Mus musculus: one gene and its partners. Each later gene encodes a partner of the first gene's protein in a complex. Links are inferred from orthologs where the notes say so. Each region holds a gene or a part of one and is shown on either strand. Other genes may lie near its edges. The genes, in order: Med19, Med18, Med31, Med16, Med7, Med21 and Med26.

Evidence for each region.
Region 2: Med19 (region 1) and Med18 share a complex: the UniProt entries of both Homo sapiens proteins name them as parts of the mediator complex. The link is inferred for Mus musculus from reciprocal best matches to the Homo sapiens genes MED19 and MED18.
Region 3: Med19 (region 1) and Med31 share a complex: the UniProt entries of both Homo sapiens proteins name them as parts of the mediator complex. The link is inferred for Mus musculus from reciprocal best matches to the Homo sapiens genes MED19 and MED31.
Region 4: Med19 (region 1) and Med16 share a complex: the UniProt entries of both Homo sapiens proteins name them as parts of the mediator complex. The link is inferred for Mus musculus from reciprocal best matches to the Homo sapiens genes MED19 and MED16.
Region 5: Med19 (region 1) and Med7 share a complex: the UniProt entries of both Homo sapiens proteins name them as parts of the mediator complex. The link is inferred for Mus musculus from reciprocal best matches to the Homo sapiens genes MED19 and MED7.
Region 6: Med19 (region 1) and Med21 share a complex: the UniProt entries of both Homo sapiens proteins name them as parts of the mediator complex. The link is inferred for Mus musculus from reciprocal best matches to the Homo sapiens genes MED19 and MED21.
Region 7: Med19 (region 1) and Med26 share a complex: the UniProt entries of both Homo sapiens proteins name them as parts of the mediator complex. The link is inferred for Mus musculus from reciprocal best matches to the Homo sapiens genes MED19 and MED26.

The regions. Positions count from the first base shown.
Region 1 is NC_000068.7:84,676,952-84,681,201, forward strand, and holds the start of Med19 (mediator of RNA polymerase II transcription subunit 19), read left to right. Parts: upstream 1-1,450; 5' UTR 1,451-1,493; coding exon 1,494-1,710; exon of another isoform or gene 1,711-1,877; intron 1,878-4,250. Other genes in the region: Tmx2 (thioredoxin-related transmembrane protein 2 isoform a precursor), read right to left, coding at 900-1,088. UniProt on the Homo sapiens protein: Component of the Mediator complex, a coactivator involved in the regulated transcription of nearly all RNA polymerase II-dependent genes.
Region 2 is NC_000070.6:132,461,122-132,465,275, forward strand, and holds the start of Med18 (mediator of RNA polymerase II transcription subunit 18), read right to left. Parts: upstream 2,801-4,154; 5' UTR 2,653-2,800; intron 1,888-2,652; 5' UTR 1,817-1,887; coding exon 1,744-1,816; intron 1-1,743. UniProt on the Homo sapiens protein: Component of the Mediator complex, a coactivator involved in the regulated transcription of nearly all RNA polymerase II-dependent genes.
Region 3 is NC_000077.6:72,212,531-72,216,830, forward strand, and holds the start of Med31 (mediator of RNA polymerase II transcription subunit 31), read right to left. Parts: upstream 2,801-4,300; 5' UTR 2,459-2,800; coding exon 2,431-2,458; intron 1,686-2,430; coding exon 1,608-1,685; intron 1,344-1,607; coding exon 1,247-1,343; intron 1-1,246. Other genes in the region: 4930563E22Rik (uncharacterized protein C17orf100 homolog), read left to right, coding at 2,801-3,190. UniProt on the Homo sapiens protein: Component of the Mediator complex, a coactivator involved in the regulated transcription of nearly all RNA polymerase II-dependent genes.
Region 4 is NC_000076.6:79,906,139-79,910,285, reverse strand, and holds the start of Med16 (mediator of RNA polymerase II transcription subunit 16), read left to right. Parts: upstream 1-1,347; 5' UTR 1,348-1,390; coding exon 1,391-1,468; intron 1,469-1,695; exon of another isoform or gene 1,696-1,780; intron 1,781-1,949; exon of another isoform or gene 1,950-2,068; intron 2,069-2,629; coding exon 2,630-2,795; intron 2,796-3,139; coding exon 3,140-3,247; intron 3,248-3,351; coding exon 3,352-3,521; intron 3,522-4,147. UniProt on the Homo sapiens protein: Component of the Mediator complex, a coactivator involved in the regulated transcription of nearly all RNA polymerase II-dependent genes.
Region 5 is NC_000077.6:46,435,594-46,439,760, reverse strand, and holds the start of Med7 (mediator of RNA polymerase II transcription subunit 7), read right to left. Parts: upstream 2,801-4,167; 5' UTR 2,570-2,800; exon of another isoform or gene 2,449-2,569; intron 1-2,448. UniProt on the Homo sapiens protein: Component of the Mediator complex, a coactivator involved in the regulated transcription of nearly all RNA polymerase II-dependent genes.
Region 6 is NC_000072.6:146,641,319-146,645,378, reverse strand, and holds the start of Med21 (mediator of RNA polymerase II transcription subunit 21), read right to left. Parts: upstream 2,801-4,060; 5' UTR 2,769-2,800; coding exon 2,727-2,768; intron 1-2,726. UniProt on the Homo sapiens protein: Component of the Mediator complex, a coactivator involved in the regulated transcription of nearly all RNA polymerase II-dependent genes.
Region 7 is NC_000074.6:72,496,311-72,499,810, forward strand, and holds part of Med26 (mediator of RNA polymerase II transcription subunit 26), read right to left. Parts: intron 1,288-3,500; coding exon 1,213-1,287; intron 797-1,212; coding exon 1-796. UniProt on the Homo sapiens protein: Component of the Mediator complex, a coactivator involved in the regulated transcription of nearly all RNA polymerase II-dependent genes.

The DNA of each region.
Region 1 (4,250 bases):
AGTATCTGTTGTGCTCTTTCATTTTGAGTTAGTGTCTAACTATGTAGTCCTGATGGATCTAGAAATCCTATATAGACCAGGCTTACATCAATCTTAAAGAAGTCCACCTGCCTCTGTCTCCAGAGAGCTGGGATCAAAAGGGTACAACACAAAGCCTGGCAACAGTACTGTATCTTTAATGTAAACAAAGTTAATCTTATTTGAGAGTCCCAGAACATGTGAGGCCTGCCCAAGGTTATATCAATACCTTTAGGCCTTAAGTCCTGGTCATTGCTATTTTAGCATAAATACCTGTATAGGTATTTATTAGCTCTATGTCCACAACCTTTACGGCAAATGTTAATTGTTCTTACATACTGCTTCTTAGATGGTTGAGGGGCCTCCCTCCCCACACCTCATATTTTTGTAATCTTCCCTGTTTTTCTATCCCACCGCAGGAAGATAGTGTGCATAGTTACTATGCCCAGAGTATTCGATTTTCCATCCAAGTCATTTATTTTGTTGAGTCAGCGACCTTCGTCTGCCAGTCTATCAGAGAATTGAATAAGGTTAGACAGCACTTTCTGAACGCTGCGTTTCCTTGGGAAATCGCCTAACTACACTGTGATCACTTCGTTAAAAATTAAACAAAAAAAATTTAATGGTATTTCTACTATTGGCCTTTTCTTCACTGGCGCCCCAGGTAGCTTGGAATCACTGTAGAATACTGTTCATCTGTGATGGAAACCCTGTAATCTGTTTCTCCATCTTAAACACGGAGGTTATGACTAGATAACGGCCTAGGCTCTGCACTCAGTCTGTAAGGCGGCTACATCCCGAAACCTGCTCCCAGATTTTCACATGCACCTGCAGGGCAGGGATGGTCAAGGTCGAGAGCTGGTAAGGCAGGGGGCGCTCACCCAGTCAAAGTCACACGGGTTGCCATCTTCGCGTTGCGTGGGGAGACCATTGCAAATCGGTGGCAGTTTCCTCACGAGGAGGAAAGCAATGGAAAGCAGAGCAGACAGAAGGCAATAAGGTCGGGCCAGCCATCGAGAAAGCCGCGGCACCGAGTACACCAAAGCAATCAGAGGCGCAAGGACAGCCATCTTTCCTGCCTACTCTCTCGCAGGCTCACTCCCGCTCCCCAAATCTTCGTCCTCCGCCCCCACCAGCAAGGCTTCTATTGGACCAAATATCAGATGCAACGCCTCCAGACCCGGATGTAGATCTCTTATTGGATGCTATAATAGATCAGAAAATGAATTAAATAGTCTATTGGTCCTCATCGTTGTCGCTTTTCTAACTGAGTCATTTTATTGGCTATTAGTCTGCGAACCACCTTCCTAACCAGTCTCTCAGGCGACGGAAGTAAGTTGCCGGAAGATGGTAGGCGGGGCTTAATGTATCCAATGATGGGACACTCTTAGACGAAGAGGGTGGTACCCTGTGAAAGTACTGTCCAATCAAAGTAATTAACGCCCGATCCCGGGTAACCAGGAGCGCAGAGTGCTATGGAGAACTTCACGGCACTGTTTGGAGCTCAGACTGACCCCCCACCGCCACCAAGCGCCCTAGGCTTTGGGCCTGGAAAGCCACCCCCGCCACCCCCTCCTCCTCCGGGAGGTGGTCCAGGCGCAGCCCCGCCCTCGACGGCAACCTCGGCCCCCGCAGGAGCGGATAAGTCGACGGCTGGAAGTGGCCCCTTCTACCTGATGCGGGAATTGCCAGGTGAGTAGTAGGCCAAGAGTAGCCACTCAGATTGTAGTTCAGGTGAGGGTGTGGCTAGCCTGTCCCGCTAGGTGTGAGATAACAGGGCTACGCGGGGCCAGTGGGCAACAGTGTCAGAAGCCCTTTGGCGATTCACAACCCTAAGGGATAACTTGATTTTCTGGGGTGGGTTTGGGTTGGGTGTGAATATCTGGGACAACCTTCAGCGAGAAGTTCTGTGATCCGGGTTCTCTGACTGCCGTTTGTGACTCTATAAAAACGTGAGCCGTTGTTTAGAACTCGGGAGACCCGATTTAACATTTCTGGAGACACTTAAGATTTTAGTTTAAAGTCTGTCACAAACTTGTTGGTTTGTAGCAAGTTGCCTTCCTTGTCAGGGACTCGGAGATTAACCTGTTCAAAGAAAGGATTAGAATTGAATCAATTCTTACTTTCATAAAATTATTCGGGGAAATTGTGGTGGTGGGGGGCGTGGCTCAGTGGTAGAACTCTTGCCTGCCTTGCAAAAGGCGTCGCGTTCACAGAATCATTTCTGAGTAGGTAGCATTCAAGAATAAACAAAGCCATCCCTGTTTGGATAGAGAGGAGATACTAGGTACAAGAAACTAAATCAGGAGACCTTGGGGGGCGGGGCTTAGAATATCTGAGGGGCAGAAGACACATTGGACTCAGGAAAGCGGAAAAAATCCAGTAGTGATGGGAAATAGGTAGAGGCTTTTATAAGGCAAGGTAGGTTGTTTAAAGTTCAAATTGAAGTCATTTCAATATAGGTGCAAAATGATCTAATTTAGTGATTTTTAGATATCCAGCAGAAACATGAAAAATGAAAATAGGATAATCAGAAGTTGCCAGTCAGTGTTCAGAAAAGGAATGGTTTGGACCAGGGCTTAGTGGTCGGGAAGCAAATGAATACAGGATACATGTTAAAGGTAAAGCCTACAGAAATAAAGAACTAAATATACACAGAGAGAGGAATTGTGAGTGTCCTGTACAAAGGGTACAGTAGTCTGAGACTAGGAAGGCATGGAAAGAAAAAATTTGAAGAGCTAAAACTTAAGAGGCGTTCTGGACATGTTAAGTCTTGGGGAACTTGTAGTACTCCATACCAGCACTCAGGAGGTGAAGGCAGAAGGAGCTATAGTTCAAGCCCAGCCTAGGAGACATGAGATCCTGCTTCAAAAAAGAAATAAAAACCTCAGTTATCCCAGTATTTATTAGCAAAATAGTTTGAAGTTCACATCAGTGCAGTGTGTAACAATATGTAATACTTACTATAGTCCTTTTAGATAGATAGGTATTGTCTGTATTTTTTAATTGAGAACTGAAGCATAAAGAAATGACTGTTAAGGCAGTTTTCTTTTTCCTTATTTTAGTTGTTTTTTGTTTTTTTTAAAGATATGTATATGACTACACCATTGCTCTCTATGGACACACCAGAAGGAGGCATCAGATCCCATTACAGATGCTTGTGAGCCACCAGGTGGTTTCTGGGAATTGAACTCAGGACCTCTGGAAGAGCAGTTGATGCACTTAACCACTAAGCCAGCTCTCCAGCCCATCTTACTGGGTTTTTGAGACATGGTCTCACTCAGTAAGCCTGGCTTGTCTCAAATTCATTGTAGACTAGGCTGGCCTTGAACTCACAGAGATCCACTTGCCTCTACCTTCAAGTATGTACCATCATGCCCAGCTTCTTCCAGCAGTTTATCTTTTGCATTACCTGTTCTAATTATACCATTAATAGATCAGTTGATAAGTACTGAATATCCAAGGTATGGTGGGATTATGAGAAGTAAAGATTATATACATATATATATGATTTATTTATTTATTATATGTAAGTACACTGTAACTATCTTCAGACACTCCAGAGAGGGCATCAGATTTCGTTATGGATGGTTGTGAGCCACCATGTGGTTGCTAGGATTTGAACTCGGGACCTTCGGAAGAGCAGTCGGCACTCTTAACCACTGAGCTATCTCACCAGCCCCGAGAAGTGAAGATTATTAAGCCTAGTTTTTAGGTAGCCTATTTTTTGAGATCCAAAATACATGGTTTAAGGATTGTGCTTATATTTTGTGGGTGTCAGTCTTATTTATTTATAGTTCAACACAGGAAGCAATGTTAAAAACTACCTGATAGTTTTCAAAATGTGTTAGCCAAAATGACAGCAAGAATAAGATGTCATTTGAACTAAACACTGAAGAATTTATATAGGTAAACAAAATTAGAAAGTTGTTTTCTCAAAGGAAATAGTGTTACAGTTTTTTGTTTGTTTGTTGTTTTTTGTTTTTCGAGACAGGGTTTCTCTGTGTAACCCTGGCTGTCCTGGAACTCACTCTGTAGACCAGGCTGGCCTCAAACTCAGAAATTGGCCTGCCTCTGCCTCCCAAGTGCTGGAATTAAAAGTGCCACCACTGCCTAGCTGTGTTACAGTTTTGTTGCTGTTTTCTACCCAGAAGATAATTAGATCTGCTGCAGACCCTCTGGTCCCGCAAGATCCATCTGGATACATTAGAAATTTTGCATGGAAGATTAGT
Region 2 (4,154 bases), on another chromosome or scaffold:
CATGCATGTACCATCCCCTGAAACACATGCACAGAGAACTAAAAATGGTATTTTAAAATCTTAAAAAAAGCTGGGCAGGGGTGGTGCATGCCTTTAATCCCAGCACTTGGGAGACAGAGGCAGGTGGATTTCCGAGTTGGAGTTAGAGGCCAGCCTGGTTTACAGAGTGAGTTTCAGGACAGCCAGGACTGCACAGAGAAACCCTGTCTCGAAAAACCGAAAAACAAAAACAAAAACAAAACAAAAAAATCTTAAAAAAAAAAAAAAACAATTAAAAAAACTGAAGCTCCAAAAATAAATATAAAGATAAAACCACCACATGTCCCCTGACCTGTATCAGCTGTTTTCTTTGTAACCAAAAATGAGAAGGAGACCAGATGCCCAGCCCAACTGTACTAGGAGAGGTGAGGGCACTGTGATGTGCTCATATACACATTTAAAATGGAGGCCGTGGAGCAACAAAAAGCTAAGACACGTACCGAAATGAATGAACTATGAAATAACAATGCTAACTCAACAACAGACACAGCCCAGTCAGCATGCACAGCGCATGCACACAGTTAGGCTCAGGCCCGAAGATCAGAGGTTAACACTGCTCCTGGACACCCAGCCAGTTAGAGGTCAGCCTGGGGGTTTGAGAGGAGGCTCAGCAGCTAAGAGTGCTGGACCTGGGTTCGGTGTCCACCAGCACCCACACGGTGGCTCATAATCGTCCACGACTCCTTTTCAGGGAACTGGACATACTTGTCTGACCTCTGACTCCCACACATGCAGGCAAGACACTCATACAGATAAAATAAGATTTAAAAATCTAAAAGAATCATTTTAATCATACTTGAAAAAAATTAATCAGCCTGGGCTCCTTAGTACTGCTTCCAAACAACAAAAACAATATAAATTCTGTCATAGGACATGACTTTATCAAGGATATAATGCTAGGAGAAATAAGCCAGTTGGGGACCTCACTCATGTGGGGCATCTAAGCAGCTAAGGTAGGAAACACAGTGGAGAGGTGAGAGGGAGACTCGGTATGAGGTTTTTTTGGTTTGTTTTGTTTTGTTCTTGTTTTTTGTTTTTAAATTTTATGTGTAAGAAGGAGTGTTTTGCCTGCAAGCTCATCTGTGAACTACCTGTATGCCTGAATCCATGGAGACCAGACTAGGGCATCAAATTCTCTGCAACTGGAGTTACACACAGTTGTGAGCTGCCATGTAGGTGCTGGGAATTGAACCAAGAAGCAGCCAGTGCTTTTAACGGCTGGGCCTTCTCCTCGGGCCTGAGTTTTAATTTTTCAAGATGAAAAAAAAAAAAAAATGAAAGTCATGCAGTGGTGGCTTGTGCCTTTAATCCCAAGCACTTGGGAGACAGAGCAGATGGACCTCTGAATTCTGAGTTCGAGGCCAGCCTGGTCTATAGACAGCGAGAACTATACGGAGACAAACAAAAATAGAGGAAAGAAAGAAAGAAAGAAAGAAAGAGCAAGGGAGGGAGGGAGAGAGAGAGGGAGAGAGGGAGAGAGAGAGAGAGAACAGACAATAGGACAATAGTGGTAAATATCTATAATCCCAGGCCCCTGCAGCCAGAAGGGTCTACAGAGTGAGTTTCTGGCCATTGAGCCATCTTCCCACCCACCCTCTTTTAAACACAGTTACAGGAACCCTACAGTTGCCTATAAGTCATCTCAACTTGCTCTAGCCAGAAAAAACTGAAAACTTGGTAACACAAGCTCCTTGGCTGACTTACCCTGCAGGAGGTACTCCATCATGTTAATGGTGCCCCCAGTGACGGGCATCATGGTGACTGGAGGCGCCTCCATGATGCCTCTAATTAGGTTCAAGACAACAGAACTGCAAACAGATCTTCCAACCGGAGAAGCACAGGATCCACCTGGAAAAGTCACACTTGTCCATACCCTGTTTGCTGCGGCAGTGGCCTTGAAACCAAAGCTCATTCAGTCTTAACTTTGCACATCTGCTTATACAGCCGGTTCCAAGAACGGGTGACTCGGGAATAAGAGGGGTTCTAGCTCCGGAGATACGGAATAGCCATCTAGTATCAAGTTCTGAACCTTATAAACGTTTTTCTATGTAATCTCGAGGCAGCTATGTAACCTCTTGTTCCGAAACCTACTGTCTCGTTTAAAATAAGACCAAGGGTGTTTAACCCCACAGCCCTCGTCTCCCCCACCCACTACCTGGCTCGAAAGAAACCGACATTCATATTCAAAAATGGTAACTACACTGGGCTACACTGAGAGGCCTCGTTTCCAAACATAAAGAAATAAAAACCGGCTGTGTTGGGGGGAACATCTGTAATCTCAATACTTGGGGACAGAGTTAGAAGGACGGCTGCAGCTTCGGGCTAGACTGGTCTATATAGCAAATCCCGGCCAATTAGGGCATCACAGTGAGACTGTCTCAAAGAAAAAACAAAAGAAAAGATCCGAGGGAGACCTAAGGACCTTGTCCACCCTTCACTCTATGCGGAGGCCATGCAGACTCAGGGAAAGGCCCCAGGGCACACGAGCGATGTAACTAGAACTGGTTCTGCCTTTATGAGAACGCCTCTGCAAATGAGCCAGGCGGGAAATATGAAGTTAGAGTGACTGTCCCGGTCCTCCCACGCGGGCAGCCGGGACACGTGTGCACTTACACTAGCAACACGTCTCCGTCCGCGCTACAGATCCTTGTAAAGCTGGAATTAAATCCACGCGTGCACACCCGCAATCCGCACCCCCAAATGCCGCCAGCGCAGAGCCAGAGAAACCGCCAAACTCTCCCTTCAGCACTTCCGGTAGGAAGCTGAGGGACAGGAAACTTCTCCGCTACCGCCCCGAAAAGTAAGGGTGCCGAGAGGGCAAGGAACGCGCCCGCCTTCTGGCACCGGTGTGCAAGAGCGCACGCGCAAGGTTCGGGGCTGCTGTTGCTTTGGGGTCCTAGTCTAGAGTGGTACCGTGGAAGGTGACTGTCATAGGACAGCTCTAGGATACGTTTTTTTTTTTTTTTTTTTTTTTTTCAGCTTCGACGACCTGGATGTTTTGATCAGATCTCATAAAGCCGATTGGATACCATATTTAAATTTTGAACTCAGCCACTGGGGGGAGCGAGGAAGGAGAGTCACATTGAAAAAGAAGGGAGGCGGAGGTGGCGGGGCTGGCAGTGAAAGAGATGTAAAATGAATAAGTTAAAAATTAAATTAAAGAAAAAGAAAAGGAAGGGGTATGTTGTAAATCGGAAACGCTAACCACAGCGTTGTGTATTTATATATAGACCTCAGCAGGAACAATATTTTGTGTGCTTTCAAGGGTCTGGAGAAACAGCTCAGTGCTAGAGCCTTGTCTGACATGTGCAAGGCCATAAGTTTAATACAAAACAACAGCAAACTTGTTCAATTTACAGTGCATACCATAACTTTAAATACATGGGACCAGGCACAGTTCAAATCTGAGAACCTTGGGAAGCTGTGGTAAGGATCTCTCCAGCAGAGCCATTCAACGCTTAAACAATATTGTGAGGTTTTTAATAAATAAATAAATAAATAAATAAATAAATAAGTTAATTAATAAGGGCTAGAGAGATGGCTGAGCAGTTAATAGCCCCTGCTGCTCTCTCAGAGGTCCCAAACTCCCACATAGTGGCTAACAACCATTTATAATTTCCTTTCCAGGGGCTCTATTACCTTGTCTGACTACATCAGTCACTGCATCCGTGTGGTAGACATGCATACACACTTGCAAAAACACTCATAACACAAAATATAAATAAATAACTAGGGGCTGGGAAGATGGCTAAGCAGTTTAGAGCACTTGCTGTTATTCAGAGGACCTGGGTTCAGCCCTAACACCCATATCATGTGACTCACAACCACCTGCCACTCTAGTTCCAAGGGATCTGACACCCTCATCTGGCATCCATGCTAAAGGACATACATGGTACACATATATCTAGGCACACATATACATTAGATAGATAGATAGATAGATAGATAGATAGATAGATAGATAAGGATTTTAAATTCAACAAGTACTTATTGAACTCTGTACATATGCCAAACACATAAGGGACATAGAGTGAGGCACCCTTAATCTTTCAGGACCCCTCCCTCCTTAACATTTCCCCAAAGGTCACTACCTCAGGCAAGGGTACCTGGTTCCC
Region 3 (4,300 bases), on another chromosome or scaffold:
TCCGGTCTGAAAATTTGCTAGCATGTAACATTTTATATCTTCTAATATAACTTCAAGTCTATCATTTGGATTCCTAAAGGAATCTATAATTGCATCATGAAGAGCAAATCTACAGGCAGCAAATCAAGTCAGGAAGGTAACGAGGATAAAAAGAAATTTTTGAAATGTTTTACTCTCATTTTTAAAATTAGAGTCTCTGCCGGGCAGTGGTGGCGCACACCTTTAGTCCCAGCACTTGGGAGGCAGAGGTAAGCATATTTCTGAGTTCAAGGCCAGCCTGGTCTACAAAGTGAGTTCCAGGACAGTCAGGGCTACACAGAGAAACCCTGTCTCGAAAAACAAAACAAAACAAAACAAAACAAAAAAGAGTCTCTCTGTGTGGACCTGATTGGCCTGAAATTTGCTACATAACCAGGCTGGCCTCAAACTCATAGAGATCTACCTGACTCTGTTTCTTGAGAGCTGGGATTAAAGGGATGCCAGGCTAAACTTCTGGTTTTTCTGTTGTCTCCTCCTTTGAGAGGCACATCTAGACAGGGCTTACCTGTGTAGAGCTTGCTGCCCTGGAAGTAGCTCTGTAGACTAAGCTGGCCTTGAATTCATGTGCCCACCTCTGCCTCCCAAATGTTGGGATTAAAGGTGTGTGCCAGCTTCTTCTTCTTCTTTTTTTTTTTTTAAGTCAAAGCTATTGAGTTTGATAGTGTCCGTGTTTGTTCTTTTACAGTGAGTTAATGTGTACAATACATTTAGCACAGTGCTCGAAACAAAGAACACTCACTATAAAGAAGGGCAGTACCTCTAAAACTCCCAGAAAACAATACTTCCTACCTTCCTAGATTATAGTTTGGTAGGCATTAAAAATCCAGAAAGACAAGGGCAGTGCTAAGTGACAAGGTTAGACACCAAATTACATTAGAACTATAGTCTGAAACCAGTTGACTGGATCTTAGCTAGCCTGCATGAACAGAAGTGGTGTGTTCTGGCTTATATTACTTAGAGAGTAAGCTGGCTCCCATGAAGACAGTTGTTTGGTTCTGTTTGAAGGGAGTGAGGTAAGAATGGTAGCAGAAATAAATGCAATTCCTAAAATAATCTAAGTTACAGATGACAGTATCTTACATTAACTAAAAGCAGAAAGATTCAAAATATCATTTTCCATTCCCACACAGAGAAAACTGCTCAGTATCAGCACTTTGTATTTATGATAAAGTATACACAGATTTAGGATTATAAAAATTAAACTTACTTTAGATATTTGGCATATTCTGGTTCTTTCCAGTAAAGCAAATACTTAAGATAATTAACAAAAGCTTTGTCTTTGAAGTAACCTCTTTGGGCAAGAACTGAAAGACACAAAGAAACAATCCGTATGTCAACCAACCGCTGGACTACTGATTAGTAATCTCTAAAACAAAGTAGCTCTTAACATCCCTACCAACAGAACACAAGGAATTAAAAACACAAGCCTTTGTTTGCCCAGTTAACTTACAGACCAGAACAAATAAAATCCCATTCAAACACATCGAAGTAATAAATAGTATTACAAACTGCATCTCTTCTCAGAAATTAAGAGCTAGTTGCTTAAGTTAGTGATGTACTTAACTTACAATTAAGGTAGTTTGGGTTGGCTAAACATTGCACAAATTCCAACTCCAACTGAAACCGAAGCCGATTTCCAGCATCATCTAGGAGAAAAGACAAATATCAAAGTGCAGAAGAGACTTTCTTAGAAATTAAAGATATATGTATATGCGTGTGTGTATATATGTGTGTGTGTGTGTGTGTATATATATATATATATATATATATATATATATATATTCACTAAGTAATGAGGCCCTGTTTCCAAAACAAAAATAGTAAAACAAAAAATAGTAAAGAAATCCTTTAAAGTTAATTGAGGAAAAAATAAGTTGAATGGGAATTTACCACCTGCAGGCCACTTTGTTAGCGGAGATCACTGGACAGTCTGTAATAGCTGTGCGGTTCCCTAAGTTGTTATAACCACAACTATCAACTGTGATTACGTTAAGCAAAATCAATGTGCTACACAAAACCGAAGCATGATGCAAAGTGATTAAACAATGGAGAGAAGGCGGTGTCCGCATTAGAATACACAGGTTATCGATATTTCGGGCAAGTTCTTGGGAGTACCTTCAGCACAGACAGTGGAAGGTCTCAGTCCTCTCCCACGGCCCTGCACGGCCCCAAGAGCCAGGGTTGGAGTAGGGGTTTGAGCAACCCAGGAGCAAAGATGTTTTCACAGACCATAGTCTGAGAAGCAGCACAGCCTTCTCCTCCGCCGGTCCCAACTCTAAGGATGCCAAGTTGAACCCGAAAGACAGCGCAGGAAAAGGGAAAAGGGAGGGAATTTCGGGGCGTAGGACCATTCCCTTGGGGTGAAGACTCGGGGTGCAAGTCACAACGTACCTGTCTCCATAGCGACGGCCGCGGCCATAACAATCAGAGTGAGGCGAACACCACCAGCCCCGACCGAACCGCGACTTCGATTGGTGAGAATCCGGAAGCCACGGCTCCTACTTCCGGTCGCGGGGCAGAGTGGGACACGAGGGCGGGGACAACCTCACTTATGGGAAAATTAGCCCCACCTATCTGTGCAGACCCGGCCGGCTGCGCGCGCAGATATCGAGCGGGGCGTGCCGGAGGACTTCTCATTTTTTAGGTCTCAGAGTCCTGCTACCTACCCCGACGTAATACACCACCCTGACGTCACCTTTCCCTGTGTGACGTGACGCAGAGCATGATCCTTGGGCCTCTTTGTCCCACCTGACCAAGGTGTATGGGCAGGATGGCCTCGCCCCTTAGGAGCAAGTCCTCCGCCCCGCGAGTGGAAAGCACCCGCCACAAGGAGACATCGACTGTCCGCGTGGAGACGTCGTCCCACCGCGAGGAAACGTCATCCCACCGCGTGGAGACGTCCTCCCGGCAGGTTCGAACGTCTTCCCGGCAGGTGGAGACCTCCCAGCGCCACCGAGAGGGGCCCTCCCTCACCCCCTCCACGAAGCGACTCCCTCAGTTCCTTGAGGTGTCCTCCCAGCACGTGGAAACCTCCTCGCAGTGCACGGAAACGTCCTCCCGCCACGTCAGGGCGTCGTCATCCCTGAGGGTGGAGACTACTGTGCACCGTGTTGAGAGCCCAGCCAGGCAGAGTGCCAGAATGGCTCGATGAAGTGCCAAAGGTCCTTAGCCAGGACTGAAGAGTTGCCAGCCAGCCATCTTCCAGGAGAACCGAGCATCTTTGGTTTCATGGAAAGAACCCATAAATCAGTGTAAGAAACAGGCTGTGGTTTCTGGGGGCTGTTAACATGTATTGACATTGCAGCACCTTAGACCATCCTGTTGTTGACCCCAGTGTGCTATTAACTTGAAGCCAGCACAGAAGGTTTCAGACTGGTAGTGCAGTATAAACCTGGCTGATGGACAATGAGATTCTTTGAGTCTCTACACCAGGTAAGTTTTATAGTCTTAGGTCACTCTAGGATGTGTTGACGACTTGAAATTTGCAAAGAGGGGCCAAACTTGTCATGATTCTTGACCGCTGGCCTGATCATATACCTGCTTGAAACCTACAGGGCAAGGTATCATCTTTCATACATTATTAATTGGCCTTTATTAATACTTATATTTCATTATACATTTTCTCATGTTGTCATACATAGTATTCCACCCACACTTAAAAAATTAAATCAGGGGGTATAGGAAAAAACAGGACAATTAATAAACAATCAATAAAACCATTAATAATCTTGGAAGGGAAAGTAAAGAAGAAGCCATGACACTTGGCCTGAGGCGTGAGATTGACAGGATGGTAACTGAGTATTACTGCATGCTAGGTAGTAGTTAGAGCATGGCAGCTAGAGCAGTGGAAAAGACTAGGATCTTCCTCTAATGAAGAGACATGCAACAAAGGGGAAAGTAAGACAACATGCTGTTGTATTCCCGCGAAGGAAAGGCTGTCTGTCTTGTGGTAGAGAGTAGGGAACTCTTTAGAGAATATGGTCAGGGAAAGCCTTGCTGATTACATTTGGTCCGAGATTTGTGTGAGTGGACAGTGAGCCATATCAGGATCTAGAGGGAAGTGCATTCTAGACAGAAGGGAAAGTCTACATTTTTTTTAAAAATCAAAGATGTTTATGTAAGAGAAAGATCAGTTAGTATATGAGAGCGTGGTATAAGGAAGAAAACAAAAAGGAGGAAGATGCCACTTCATATAGAGTCTTGGAAATCTTCTGGGATTACAGTAAAGAGCTTGAATTTTATTCTGAGATCATCAAAAGAA
Region 4 (4,147 bases), on another chromosome or scaffold:
TCCTCTCCTCCTCCTTCTCCCCTCTCCTTATGCCAGGGGTCCAGGACTTCCAGCCAGAAGCCTCTGACCTTGTGTTCCCTGTCCCCTCCCCTGTCCCCTCTGCTGCTCAGCATAGCTGTGGTCACTGCAGAGGTCTTATATGTTCAGCAGGCCTGGCCCTCCTTCCCTTCCCCTTCTGTGTGATTCTTTGAGCTTGGGGGAAAGGGACGATTTTAATAAAGCCTTGGTGCTCGAGTCCTGTCCCCGTGTTTGTCTTTAGGTTTGGTGGGGGTGGGTGAGACTGGGAGATCACTGAGGGCACGAGCTAGCAAGCTGGACACGGGGGAACCTCAAAGTCTCTATAACATTAGTTCATTTTACAACATGTAAAATGCTTAAAGATGAGGTGCCAGGTTGGGGTTCGATGGGGAAAGCAATTGGTTAGCATGCTCAAAGCCCTGGGTTCCATCCCCAGCACCATTTAAACCACATGGTGACCAGTGACAAGTGATTTTGAGGCCAGCCTGGGCCATGTGGTAGACAGGTCTCATTGTTGGACACCTCTGAATCCTAGCACTCAGGAGCCAGAGGCTGATGGATCTCTGTGAGTTCAAGGCCAGCTAGTCTACATAGCCAGGGCCATACAGTGAGACCCTGCCTCAAACAACAGTCACTTGAGGGCCAGCAAAATGGTTAAGCACGTTAAGGTGCTTGCCGCCAAGCTTGATGATCTGAGAGCAAGAACCAACTCCTTGTCCTCTTACGTGCACTGTGGAAGGCACACTTATACACACACACACACACTCACACAGGAGCCCGTGGCTTGGTGGTACACCTCTGTCATCCCAGTAGGTAGGTAGAGGCAGTCACTGGAGAACCTCATCAGTGTCAGGCCAACCTGAGCTATACAGTGAGCAACGAGCTCTGCTGTCAAGAAACAAAATAGAAAAAACGTGAGTGAGCCTCCAATAGGATGTTAGGGTGCTTGTCAGTTCCTCTGAGGAACAAAATATGGAACGCTTCACGAATTTGCGTGTCATCCTTGCGCAGGGGCCATGCTAATCTTCTCTGTATCGTTCCAATTTTAGTATATGTGCTGCCGAAGCGAGCACAAACAAGGCTTTTCTCCAAGGGATATTTATAGTCTCAAAACACACAATTACTTTACAGTTAGGGTGAGTTTCCTTTTGTGCTGTTTTTTAAAATAATAATTTAGTATTTGTATCTCTTATAGAAATCCAAGCCTATCATGTAAAATGTAGCTAGTATTAAAAAGAACAGATTATCTGTCTTTTATCGCACATTAAGCCTCTATAGTTACTAGGAAATATTATATGCAAATTAACCGGGGCAGGGGAGTAGCCGAGCTTCTCCCACAAGTCTGTGCGAGGGGGCCGGCGCGGGCCTAGAGATGGCGGCGTCGGATCCCGGGCGTTGGGGCGAGTGTGGACCGCGGCCGCCGGGCCGACTGGGCGCCCGGGGCGGACAGGTTAGTACGGCGTGCGGGGTACGGGACTCGTGGCTGGTGCGTTTCAGGCTAAAACCGCGAGCGGAAGGCCGAGGGGCGGGGCTTGCGGGGTCAGAGGGCGGGCCTGGGAACAAAGCTTGCTGGGTAGAGGCCGTTGTGGGAGGGATGTGAATAGGGGGAGCCTAAGGCGACGGGGTTGAGGAGGGGGCGTGGTCCGAGGGGCTGAGCCTCCCTGGGAGGGGCGTGGCCTGAGTTCAGAAGTTGGATGGAGGGGCAGAGTCTGAAGAAATAAGACTGATAGAGAGGGATGTGGCCTAGGGAGCGGAGTCTAAGGTGGGCCGGGGTTGGGGGTGCTAAAGATCTGAGATCGATGCAGAGAGGTGACCTAGTAGTCACAAGCTGAGCAGAAACTGAGGCTGAATTTACCAGTTTGGTTTGGAGGCGGAGCCTAGGGTGATTAGACAATGTGGGTGGAGCTTAACGAGCTTGGGCGGGAGGTGGTGGAGGTGTGTGTGTTAAGACTCAGGATTTAGCCGGGTGTGGTGGTTCACGCCTTTAATCCCAGCATTTGGGAGGCAGAGGCTGCGGATTTCTGAGTTCGAGGCCAGCCTGGTCTACAACGTGAGTTCCAGGACAGCCAGAGCTATACAGAGAAACCCTGTCTCGAAAAACCAAAAAGAAAAAAAAAAAGACTCAGGCTTTTTGCCAGGCGCACGCCTTTAATCCCAGCACTTGGGAGGCAGAGGCAGGCGGATTTCAGAGTTCGAGGCCAGCCTGGTCTACAGAGTGAGTTCCAGGAGAGCCAGGGCTACACAGAGAAACCCTGTCTCAAAAAAAAAAAAACAAAAAAAGGCTCAGAATTTGAGCCTTGGATGTTAACTTGTTGAGAGTATTGTGTGGCATGGGCTGCTGCGGGGTCTAAGCTACTAGGTCCCAGGCAAGGCTTGGAGACTGAACTAGAGTGTAGACTGAGGCCCAGACTGAAGTGGTAGGGGTGGGCCCGGTTGTGTGTGTGGAGGGTGCTTAGCGTTTGTAGGCTGAGCTCAGGCTGATCTGGGTTGCCTAGGGAGGAGTGACCCCAGGCGGGGCATCATGGATTTTATAGCAGGGCTCTCGCTGGAGAACATTCTAGACACCCTTTAGCTGGGAGCTGCTATAGAGCACTGCCTCCCTTTTCCCCAGGAGCCAGGGACCGTGCTGGGTGCGGTGGGTATGATGGACCTGGCCTATGTGTGCGAATGGGAGAAGTGGGCCAAGAGCACGTACTGCCCGTCGCTGCCCCTGGCTTGTGCCTGGTCCTGCAGGAACCTCATTGCCTTCACCACAGACCTACGCAATGATGACCAGGGTGAGTGCTGGCTCTCCTTACCTGGCTAGGACCTGGGGATCAAGACCATGTGGGTGGGCTTGCCAGGTGTGGCTCCACTGTGCCTCAGATCTGGAAGGCTCGTGGTGGCAGAGCCAGACACTCTGATGCCAGTTAGAGGGTTTTGAGAGGCCAGGGAAAGCAAGGTGGGAGAAGAGACATACATACACTGCTCACCATCTTCCAACAATGTTAAGACATGTGGCTGCACAGGATGCCCTGTCCAGGGACTAGCAGCATGGCGGAGCTTATAGGAGAGGTGCACTGTGGGTGGGGACACAGGCACTTCGAGCTACACTGACCTCAGTGTTCTTTTTCCACTGCAGATCTGACACACATGATCCATATCCTAGACACGGAACACCCCTGGGAAGTGCACTCTGTCAGCTCTGGCCACAGCGAGGCCATCACCTGCCTGGAGTGGGACCAGTCAGGTGAGGCCAGGGGGTGTGCTCTCAGTCCAGAGCCTGGCGACAGCCACCACCCGCTGGGAGTCCAGAGTGGGGGGAAGGCCCCTGACACAGCTCTCTGGTCGCAGGGTCCCGGCTACTGTCTGCTGATGCTGATGGACAGATCAAATGCTGGAGCATGGCTGACCACCTGGCCAACAGCTGGGAGAGCTCGGTGGGCAGCCAGGTGGAGGGGGACCCCATCGTGGCCCTGTCCTGGCTGCACAACGGTGTAAAGCTGGCCCTGCATGTGGAGAAGGTGAGCGTACCACTGGGGGACCTAGGGGTAGGTGGATGGAACCACAAGTGTGCAGCTCCCGTGCTCACTGCCAATTGCTGTGGGATACCTGTCAGTACCTGCCATCCCTGAGCGCCCCTGACCCTGAAGCTCCCCTTTAGCTATGTTCCCTCCCTGTACAGTGAATCTGTTTAACAGATATCTCGTGTCTGCAGTGGAGTCTTAAAATGGCTGCTATCTCCAACAAGTTGCCTTTGTAACCAGCCAGTGACTGCTGTTCTCAGATTCCAGTCCACTTTGATTTAATGACAACCCAGAATCCCCCTGGCCGTCTGCATCCAGAGTTCAGCCAGTTAGAAGTGGGAGCAGAGTTAGACTCGGGGCCTCTGGGAGTCCTTTTTACTCAGTAATGGAGGGAAAGGGGCAGCCTGTGAGGAAGGAGGCACAGCACAGCCTCCGTTCTGTGGTTGCTGCAGGTCTGTGGGGCCAGCAGCTTCCACATTGCCCGCCTCTCACCCAGTACAAAAGGCTGGGCCTGGTGTCACAGCCCAACCCCAGTACTCACGAGGCAGACAGCTCTCTCTGAGCTCAAGGCTAGCCTGGTCGACATATCCAGTTCCAGGGCAGCCAGGGCTACACAGTGATAC
Region 5 (4,167 bases), on another chromosome or scaffold:
GGGGGGGAGAACAAAAAACAAAAAAACTTCCTTGTTAGGCTAATGGGATAGAGCAAGGAAGGTACAGAAAGTTGCACACCAAAGACTCTGCCTTCCAAAAGGTTTGCCCTTTGTCTACTTTGTGATAGCACCACAATTATGATTCTAACATTCAAGTGTAAAGACAGGTTCTGTAACTCACAGTGGACAATGGCAAGGTCATTTTTACTGCAGAATCACCGTTTAAACTACTTAGTCACTGACTCCCAGGTACCATGACTTCTTCACAATACTGCTCTGGTCCTACGGCCTGCTGTGTCCTGACTCTTAACTGTATTCACCCACGACTGCAGGTTTTTATCAGATAGTTTGTTTAACTGAATCAGACTTAAAAATGCTGAATTGTTATGTTTATTGCAGTGAAGATAACAGAAGTGAGAGCCTTGTTGCCCTAATATCTCTAACTATACACCCAAGTCGAGATATGCAAACTTTGTCTATGAAGGAAATTCTGAGAACACAAAACAGTATCACTTAGAAACCCTACTATTTTTTTGATCTCTTCAAGTCTTTCTCACCTGTTAAAGAGCACTCTTGCTGCCTGCCAGACTTCACGTGATGGTGAAGTAAGATCTGCTCTGCTTGTTTAGAAAAGGATGCTAGCACTAAGGACTCACATATTCTAGGTAATCTGACAAATGTAAAGCATACAAAGTGGAAAAACAAGCAGCAGAGTCCACCACAGGTTTGGCAGAGGACTTTATTTACTGTTATTTTTAAACATTTTTTTAAAAAGACCTAAACTGGGCATGATGGTTCCCGCTGTAGTCATGATGGGTCATGCTGTAGTCCCTGTGACTGAGAAGCTCGATAGCTCTAAGTTCAAGGCCAGTTTGGACTACACAGTGAGGCTGGGCCAGCCGGTGCTAAAGATCCATCTTTAAAAACTAAGTAAATATTTTTAAAATATATAAAAGTGGGAGTAAGATATGGTAGTGGTCTGTGAGGTATTAGAGGAGTGTGGAAGCGGGTATGATCAAAACACATGTGTGTTTGTGTGTGTGTGTATAAAATTCTCAAAGAACAAACATATTCTGAGAACTAAGGAAAAAGGGTCTGTATTTAGGGTGCTTTTATATGGTACATGATATACTATTTTTTCATGTCTGACTCCTTTTGGTAGGCATATGTTGGAACCTACTCTGGAAAAGAACATTTATATGCAAATGTCATATGCCTTATTTATTATTCTTTCCCATAATCAAACTACATATGGTATCTATTAATCTCATGTCGTTCACTTTCCTTTTTACTGTACAGTGGTCTCCAAACCCAAACACTTAAAACTCTCTTTACATCTTGACAAAAATCACCATTGTTGCTGGGCAGTGGTGGCGCACGCCTTTAATCCCAGCACTTGGGAGGCAGAGGCAGGTGAATTTCTGAGTTCGAGGCCAGCCTGGTCTACAGAGTGAGTTCCAGGACAGCCAAGGCTACGCAGAGAAATTCTGTCTCAAAAAAACAAACAAACAAACAACTATAACAAAACACCGTTGTTAAATTTCATATTTCAAATATTTTCCAAGGTTTCTGAAGGAAGCCACATCTTACAGTATAGTAGAGTTAGTATAGTACAGTTTTCTTAACACATTAGCAATTTTTACATCTTTTCTACATAAATTTAAAACCTAAATCCCAACATATATGGTCAAAATAACCTTTGCTTTTTCCAATTTAAGTACATTATACAATGAGAAGATTCTTGAGTGCTTTCTCACACTGATGTACACTGCCAATACCTTAAATCTGAGGGAAGCAACTCCAAATTCTTCAGATTGTCTAACTGTTAGAGCTAATTCAGGGTGTATATACCTAGAACACGAAAGTCTACTTGTAGCCACTTCAAGTCAACACCTGGCCTAAATTTCATCCCCCGAAGGCTTTTGAAGTTGGGGATCTGCGCTTCCCTTAGCCACACCCACACTAAACCCGCAGTTTCCCGAAGGTTTTTAGTAAGTGACAGATCCGCATCCTCACTCCAATCATCAGGACGGTACGACTACTCCCAATTTGACTATAGAGACAAGAAGCCAATTCCCAACGTGCAGAAGGGGGTGAATTGTACAACGGGAATCCGCATTAGTTTTTTCGGGCGCAAGTGCAAACCCCCGTAACTTGGGCATCCCGCGTTAGAGCGGGCCACCTTACAGAAACCGCCCATTACCGGTTCAAACTGAACTTTTCAAAGCCGCTGGAGGTCGTGACTCGCTAACACTAACAAGATCCAGTGTCTCGTGGGTGCTTTTTTTTTTGGGAGGGGGGGGGTCCGCAAGCTCAGACACTTGGCTCACTTTGTCCCCGTGACTGGGTCCCCGCGGAAAGTCTGGTACAGGATGAATCCGGCTCCGACCCAGGCTCTCGCTCCCCTCCCCCAGCCCCCGCGCTCCCAGGCGGCTACTGTCACTTTACCAATGGCGACAGGGCAGGCTAAGACCACGACATTATAAAAGCCCGTGGCGTGGGGACGAGAACTCGGACCTCCCAACCTCCCGTCTGGCTTGTCGTCCGGAGAGAGCGGTACTCGGTGTACCTTCGGCCGGCCGCCTGCCTCAGGCCCCGGGGAGGCTTCGCGGAGGAACCGGGAGGAAGGCTAGCCCGGGCGTCCCAGGCTGTCCCGCGCCGGACTTCGGCGCTCCACGCCGGGAGAGACGCAACCGCGGGGGCGGAGAGACAGACTTAGGCTGCGGTCGCCAACCGCCGCCGCCCGCTCACCTCAGCTCTTTCTTGCTTTTCCGGTAGTGACTTTTCCTCAGCGCAGCGGAAGCACAAGTTCCGGTTGCCTTCTCAGGAAGAAGCCTCTGACGCGGGCCTCTCATTGGCTACCAAGGCTGTCCTATAGCAGGTCCTACTCCCGCCCTAAAGATGTTGCACATGCGCACTTTCGCATCTCCTGCTTCTCTCGGGAAAGATCCGCTGTCTGGTTTCTTGGTCAGGTCAGGAGAATACTTCTTCGTACTTTTTGTTAGTAGAAGAAAGTACTCTCTAGTAATTCCATTCCTTGCAGCCCCCACTTTTATACGAGACTTTTAAAATTAAATACTTGCCTTATGTAAAAGTCAGAAAATACAGATAAGCAATATATTTAAAAATTATACTAATGTAATCATCAAAAATGTTTTTTAAAAGCAAGATTGTACTCTATGATATATTCATATATATGGAGATATTTGTGAACATGATTAAGAATAACATCCTAAACCTTCATTTTCCCCCTTCCATTCACTTTTATTTTCATTTAGGAATTCAAAGATGTCTATAACAATCCTTCCACAAATTGACAAGTGAAAAAAACTTAATATAATTTTTTAAAATGGAGGGAGTGGGTAATTTCACTGTGTAGCCCAGGCTGGCTTCAGATGTCTCTTCCCAGCCTCTGGAAAGCCAGAGGTATAGAAATGAGCCATCAGGACTAGCAAGAAATATTTCCATTTTGGCCTTTCCCTGAGGGAGAGGAGGAGGGGGAGGGAGGAGAGAGAGAAGAGTTGTTAACAGATGATATGGGAGTCGTAAGATGCAGTGTTGCAAACTAAAAGTAAGATAAACAGCTCTGCTTCACAAACAAGAATGTCTCAGTTTCTTCCTTTAAATATGTGGAGCATTGCAGGCATAAAAACAAAAGAAGAGTCTACTCACTACCAACTTCCATAGTTATATGAGCCCCATCATTTTGTCTCTAGTCTGGTATGAACCTCTAAAAGGTAAGGGCTCTTCGTTTTTTCCTATACCCACAGATTTATTATCTTACTGAAAGTGTACTAGGGGTTATTACACTGATAGAATGAATGTGTGTATGCACATGGATATATATGTATATATGACTTATCCGAGTGACTTACAAGATGCAGTTCAAGTAGTCCAGCAATGGCTGTCTCAGCCCTGAAAGGCTGAGAATCCTGTAGTTGCTCAGTCTAAGAGGCTGGATGTCTCAACAGACCCCCACCTGGCATTGGAGACCTGGAAGATTCCTGGAGAGCCACAGGTCTTCAGTCCATGTTGGAATCCCAAAGAAGTTTGGTTCTAATACTGGCAAAGGAATGGCACAGCAGTGGTACAGATGAAGTTGCCAGTGAGTGTTAGAGCAAGCAACCAAAGAGCAGTTTCCTTTCTTCATGTCCTTTTATCTGGGCA
Region 6 (4,060 bases), on another chromosome or scaffold:
CATCCTCAACTATGTAAGGGAGTTTGAGGCCAGTTTGTACTACATGAAAAACAAAAATTTTTTTAAACTGTAAATTATCAGAAATGTATTCTTCAAGATTCAAGTTGTAACCTTGTTGCTTAAATTTGTTTGTTTTTGGGGCATGATGGATCTCAGCATAAGAGAGGCAGAGACAGAGGCACTCAGATCTGTCAGTTTGAGGCCATCCTGGAGTATGTGGACAGTTCTAGGCCAGCCAGAGTTACATAAGATTCTGCCTCAAAAGAAGCAAAACTAAAAAGCATTGCATTTAAGTAATTTGAGAATATAAGTTCACACCATTCACAAACTAAACATATGTTCTCACTAGTCCTAACCCCTGAAGCCTCATTTAGTATTTCCAATCAATAAACATTTCTATTGTTTTGCTGTCATTATTTCAATGTAAAATTCTGAATTGTCATTGAAAAGCTAACCTGGTTGGCTTTCTAAGTTGCAGTGTTCTATTTAGCAGCACTGTCATAAGAAAGAAAAATATAAATGAAGCTTACTCAATACAGCAGCTAGTGTTCTGTCTTGTAAATTCATTCAAGACCCATTATTAATCTGTTCAAAAATATTTATTGAAAAACCAACTCCATGACAAGTACTGTATATATTATAGAAATGAACATGGAGTTTCCAGATGGCAGAACAAATGTTAATATTGCTCTGTGTTCCAATCTACTTTAGCTCTTAAGAGCTGAAAACAATCCACTGTAACTCCCTAGCCACATATGGGGTTTGTTTGCATCATCTAAAAGTCTCTTGAGTTTATGACATCTTTCTAAGCTCCTAGAATAGTTCTTTGTAAACACATTCCCTGTAGACACAGTAGGCATACATATTAACTCAATTATCAGTACTCCTAAGACTATATCGTATCCTTAACATCCTAACTATAGGACCTACATGAATATGCATACTTAGGAGATGAGCTTCTACACAGCATTATTAAGATTTGTAAAACCAAAAAAATTTAAATTAAAACAAGAAAGACTTGTAAAATTACAAAAGTATTTTCTTGGGAGAGGTTGGCTGGCAGCCCAGGGAATCTTTGCAAAACAGAATGTACCTTGGTGACTTCATCAACATTTAAGAGATAGCCCCTCAACTTTAAAACTACTTTATTTACACAGAATAGACTAGTCTTCCCACTAGTAGATACACAATTTCAATGTACTCTCAAAAATGATGAATTACCAAGAAGCCTTGTTATAACATTCCTGTTTAAAAAACACTGTCCAGAGAACTAGGTATTTAGATTTTTTTTTTCAGCAGGCATATACTGTGTAGGCTCTTCTACATCAAACTACAACCAGAATGACACTAAGAGATTTTAATTACCAATGGAAAACTGTTGCACTATTTTTGTTGTTGTTGTTTTGGTTTGGTTTTTTTTTTTCGAGACAGGGTTTCTCTGTGTAGCCCTGGCTCTCCTGGAACTCACTCTGTAGACCAGGTGGCCTTGAATTCAGAAATCCGCCTGCCTCTGCCTCCCAAGTGCTGGGATTACAGGAATTAAAGATGTGGGTCACCATTCCAGGCTCAGTATTTAGTTTTCCATTCATGTACAATTAAGCCAGAATAACAGCCAGAGGCGACAAAGTTAGAGAAGCTAGCAGTTTTCAGGAGCTTTTGTTGTAGATTTTGATTACTGGGCTGTTTTTTTTTTTTGTTTTTAACGCCAATCTGGTCTCCACAGTGTGCAGGTCAGCCAGAGCTACACAGTGAGACCATCTCAAAACAAAACAAAAATCCCTCTTGTGTACATTCACTGTTCTGTGGTACTGTGCTGTAAGAGCTTCACTCCACCTATAAGAGCCTCTTAGGGAAGATCGTAAAGCAGACTTAAACAAATGCAAAGAAACGGAGAGGCCAGGATCTGGCCTCTTCTAGACGTTACTCTCCAACCATTGGTGCTGGAGTCGCCAAGAGCGGAGGGAGGAGTGAAGGCCTACAGAAAGCAAGGCAAGCTCACGCCCTGGTCACTCATACACCAACCTACAAACACTCAACACTTTGTTGTGGTCTTTTGTGTTTTGTTTTCTGAGATGGGCTATCAAACTGGAGCTCAGGCTGGCCCGGAGCTCGCTGCAATCCTCCTGTCTCAGCCTCAGAGGTGGAATCACAGGAGAAATCCGTTTGGCAGGTTGAAATTGAAACGCGAGGGAGGGATACACACAAAAGTGCTTAGGCGTGTGCTGCCCCACAAAGGAAGTTCTAGAAGCATCCCTGGAACTTGAGTACTCGCTTCCTGGCTACCTGGCCGCAGACCTTGAGTCTCCTCAGGAGAGGCCGTCGTCGGGTCCCCTCCTTATTAGCGGCCACTCGTTCCCTTCCTCAAGTTCGCACCTCACCAGAGGCCCCGGGTCCCATGGCTCTCAGGAGAGACTGGCAGGTCCCACATCCTCTCAGGAGAGACCCCCGGGTCCCACCTCCCTTAGGAGAGACTGGCGGCTCCGACCTCCCCTCAGGACAGGCCCCCGGGTCCCGCCTCCCCTCAGGACAAGCCGCCCGGCCCGGTCTCCCCTCAGGACAGGCCCGTCTCCTCAGACCCCGCCCTGTGGACTACGTGAGACCCAGGCCTCACGGGGTGCGCCGCCCGCGGCGACCTCAATCTGCGCGCTCCCCGGGGCCTTGCCTCGCCCCTTCCTCCTCTCTCCGCGTCAGGAAAGCAAGGCTGGCGAGCAGAGGAAAGCCCTCACCGAGTTCACAGCGTCCTGCAGCTGAGTGAGTCTATCCGCCATGTTCACCACGCACGCAAGGGTGCGCAAAAGCTGCTAGAGCGCGAGCGATTGGCCAATTTATGACGCCTCCGGACCAATCACAGGCCTTCCTCCTTGAGGGGCGTGGTTAAGGAAGCATGCTGCCGGGGAGGGGCGGGGCCAGCCTGCGGGCCTGCTGACGTCAGGCGGGTGGGATCCAGGGCTGGTGTGGGGGAGGAGGGACGCGTGCAGGCTGAGCTGCTACGGGTTCGCGTTTACGCTGGACCGAGCCTGTGAAGGGAAGGTGCTTCCTCCATTCTGTCTGTTAGCTCTGACGAGGCTATGCCTCACGGTGTAGTCCTGGCTGGCCTGGAATGTGTTTTGTTTGTGAGGGGTTTTGTTTTTGTTCGTTCGTTTCTTTGTTTTGTTTATCTGGAACACTTGTTTTCCTTTGCTTTTACTTTGCAGGTATACCACAAAGCATACTCGCAGCCCGCCATTCACAACATTTAAATTCGAGAAATTAACATTCTCCAGGAAATCAAAATGGCTAGAAAAGGGTGGCTAATTAGTTTGGGGCAGGAGGTGCTTACCCAACTGGAGACTAGATTAGTGCTTTAATTCTGAGTGGGAGTGCCTGGGGGAAATGGAAAGCATTAAACAGCTCTGTGATGAGGAACGGGTGATAAGTAAAGTGAAAAGGAGGAAGAAGAGCATTTGAAGGTAGGAGGTGCAAACTCTGTAGACCAGGCTGGCCTCGAACGCAGAAATCTGCCTGCCTCTGCCTTCCAAGTGCTGGGATTAAAGGTGTGCGCCACCACGCCCGGTCTAGGCAGGTTCGATCTTAAGAAAGATCAGCTTCAGAATGTAAATTTAGAACTGGGGCTTCCTGACAGTTTTCCGTGTGAAGGGTGATAGCAGAAAGGTCATTTCTGTTAGCCTGGGGATATTCTGATGGGAAGTGAGTCCTGAATCTGCAAATACCTGGTTTGTGGAACTCAGACAAACTGTTTATCATAGTTTCCAAGATGATCATTTCTGGAGTTGGAGGTGGGTGGGTATGTGAGCCTGTTTTTTGTTGCTACAACTGAATAGCACAGACAAGCAATTACAAAGAACGTTTACTCCCTACAGTGTTCTGGAGGCTGGGAAGTCCACTATCAAGGTGGACTGTCATCGTGAGAGAGCCTTCTTGGTGAATCCTAACAGAGGAGGACATAACAGATGAGGAGGTTGGGAGGTATCCACCAGAGAAGACTCCTCAGATGTGGTTTAAGCCAACAGATAGTCATGATTAGCCAGCCATCGACTATACTGGGTATTCAGGATCCCAG
Region 7 (3,500 bases), on another chromosome or scaffold:
GGGATGGTACCTGCGTGTTGTCCGGTGGCTGGGGCCATGGGGAAGGGCTGGACACCTGGCCCTTGGGTATGTAAGAGCTCCGATGCCGTGAAAAGGAGCCTTCGTGCCGTGAGTTCCGGGGGCTGAAGGAGCAGCGAGAGGACCCCCTGGGATAGGGAGGGCCTGGGGACTCATCTGCCCTGTCCAACTGCTGCAACTGTGCAGCCTTGGTCTGCAGGCAGGGAACTGGGGGTTTGCCCAAGCCGGGAGAGCTGGGGCGCGGCCGCACGGCGTTCACGGGAATCTTGGTGCTGTGCTTCTCATTATCACTGGGCTCCAGGCGGCTGCCATCAGGGCCCAAGTGCCCACTGCCATCCAGGGGGCTGGGTAAGCTCTCTGGGCTCCCGCTGATCCCATTGGTGGGGAGAGGGGATGCATTGGGAACCAGAGGGTCAGGACTGCCTTTGGAAACTTTGTGGGGTGGCCCTGGGTGGCCCAGGTCACGCTGGTCCCCCCTGCGCTTACGGCTGCCCAGCCTATCTAGCCGTTGCCCAGGGAGCCTTTGGATGTCGTTGCGATTCTTCAGGTCATGGATGCTCTTGGGTGCACCAGCCACTCCCATCTCTGGTCGGCAGTTGTGCGCACCCCCATTGGCAGAGCCTGCAGCTCCTGCCAGTGCCCGTAGTGCCACTTCGTTCTGGTGTACAGGCTCGATGAGCTTCTGCCAGCTTCGTAGCAGCCTCTTGGCCCGCTTGGCCAGCTCCTCATTCTTGGTTTTCTTGCGGACATCATTGATGAGCTTCCCTAGTCGTGTCTCCTACAAGAGAGTGACATACTTTTACAAGGGGCCAGCGTCTTGGATATAGTTTGGGTATGTCCAGCACTGTGGCAGCAATGAATCTTTAGATCTGGGACTCAATGGCTTTCTCAGAAACAGGTCTACCGGTTCCAGGTGCCTGTAGACTCAGGTGCTATCAAGACCACAAATATAACCGTGGGTGGCCCTACCAGGATGTCTGGGTGAGCACATTATACAGCCTAAGACTTCCTACCCAAAGAGAGGGCAGTACCACTAACCAGTTGTCTAAAGCACAGTTCAGGAAGGAGCCCAGTTGTGAGATTAGAAGCCTCCATTCTTGGAGAGTTGAGTAAGAGCCTAACCCACAGGAAGAAAAGCTGTCTGGGGCTACCTTTACCTCCCATTATGCCCAGGGTAGGGGCAAGGGCTCTTACCTCCAGTGCCTCTTTGGTGATGGGGTATCTCTCCAGACTGGAGATCACTTCCAACACTGCCACCATGTTCCGGATCTGAAGAAAAAGAACCATGTATCAGCTCAGGGCTCTGCCTTCTCCCATGGAAAGCCCAGCAGCCTAGGGCCCTGCAAGATACCAGCACTACCAAAATCCCTATTACCCTTTCCCAGGGTTCAGCATTACCCATATGCAGGCACACCCCACTGCCATCAGGGTGCTCTGCTGAAGGACATACCACATAAAACACAAAGCCTCAGAGAAAAGGAAAGGAAAGATAGGCACAATAACCAGTGAACCCGATGACTGTATCAAGGTCTTCATAGAGACTCTCAAGAAAGCAAGATGTCACAAACTATAAGATCTGTATGTCACATGGCTAGGAGGGCCTCTGGAACACCACCTGAGCAATAATGCAGCCCCATGAAACCAGATGAGAGAAGGCCCGAGACACTAAGAGGCTCTGTACACAACAAGCAGGGTGAGGACTAGTGCTGAGCTTCATGGTGACAGGAAGCTAATGATCTACAGGCTCACATATGGGATCCCACTCTAAGCCAGCCTTTCCACTGGGCAGGTGCCAGGATTGTCATTCTGGAAAGAGTAGGACTAAAAAGCTATGACTGATGTGACTGGACATCCCAGCAGCACAGCCACACACAGTAGCAAAGCATGAGTGGGGGGGGGTGGGTGAAGAGGAGTTTCCAGAGCAAGAGGGGACAAAGCAAGATGTCACAAACTGTAAGATGTATATATATGGCTAGTGAGACTAGCCATATTGGTGAGCTCCAGGTTTGATTGAGAGACCCTGTCTCAGTGATCAGGCGGAGGAGTGAGTGATGATTCCCTGCACCAACTTGAGCTGCCCTTTATGCATGTGCACACATGTATTCCATACACATGTACATGGGAAACTACTTCAATGAACCCCAGACAGAAACATGGAAGTTGAAAGTAAGCTCTAAAATGGTTGCAGGAGAGGATCTGCAGTTGTGGGATGATAGATGTTCCTGAGGAGTTCAGAGCACAGGGCAGAGTAACATGGCACTGCAGGTTCTAGGTTGACAAGCAGTCAGGAACTGTGGGGGTGGAGTTTAGACAGAATACCAACAAAGCTGATTGTCCATAGCCCTAAGTCCTCTCTATCTTTGTGCCACATGTCGAAAGGGTATGATGATATCACCTGCCACACTGGGTAACATGGAAAAATAGTCTGCAACCCTACCGACTGTTCATGAGGAACCGCCCAGCTCCAGCACTTGGGAGGAGGTGTCAGCTAGTAGCCCCCAGGAGGTTGTTCCATGTGACATACCACAAGCAACCTAGTGACCAGAAGATCGACCTTCAGGTTTCCTGCTGCTGCCCTGATCTATGTTGGCTGAATCCCTTCATGTTTTGATTGTCTCACCTACCCATAGCCTAGGGCCAGAGAGCTGCCTCCTTACTGGAGGTTCTTGGGGATGATCCATACTCAGAGAGATACCAACAGAATTCAAGTCCAGGTCCCAATTTTCTTACTGGCTGTCACCTAAAATGCTGCTCCTAGCTTCAGGAGTACATCATGTCCCTGTGTTCCCAGCCCTCTACCTACCTTCAATACCAGCCCCAGAATCCTGATCATGTATAGCCCAGAATTGTTCCTGTCCGCACCTTAGCCATGTCTTGTCAGGTAAGGTACCAGGCCTAGGTTGGTTTCCAGACTAGGAGGTAGATAGCCTATAGGCCATGGGTATCCCCCAGCTTTTCTAGTCTGTCCATTTCCAGCGGAAGGCAGTCACCATGTCTCTCTTGCTTCAGGGCTCTGCCTCCTGGGAGAGAAGCTGTACTGAGAAGAGAGCAGTCAGCAGCCCTTGTACTGTCGCACAGCTTTCACTAAGCCATCCCTCTGTCAACAAGGCAGGCCCTTCCTTGGGAACAAGGCCTTCCACATGTGATATTTCCTCTGGGGCTGGGGCTGTAAACACATCCAGATTACAACATTGGTCCTGCTGCCCCATGGATGGGTGGCCTACCTAGAGACATGGCTGTCGTACTCACCTCTGAAATGGGATGGGCAGGGATTCCATGCAAAGAGTGTGCAATGAGGAGATCATTCCTAAGAGAAGATAAATCAAGTGTTCCCTGGCCTGGGATCTTGGTGCCACTGGGCTCCTGAGCTCCATGGCTTCATCTCCATCTAGTGACCTCACTCTGGTATATTTAGAGCCCTGGGTCCCCACATACTCCTGACCCAGCAGTCCTTGATGAAAGGAATTTGCCCAAGCCCCAAT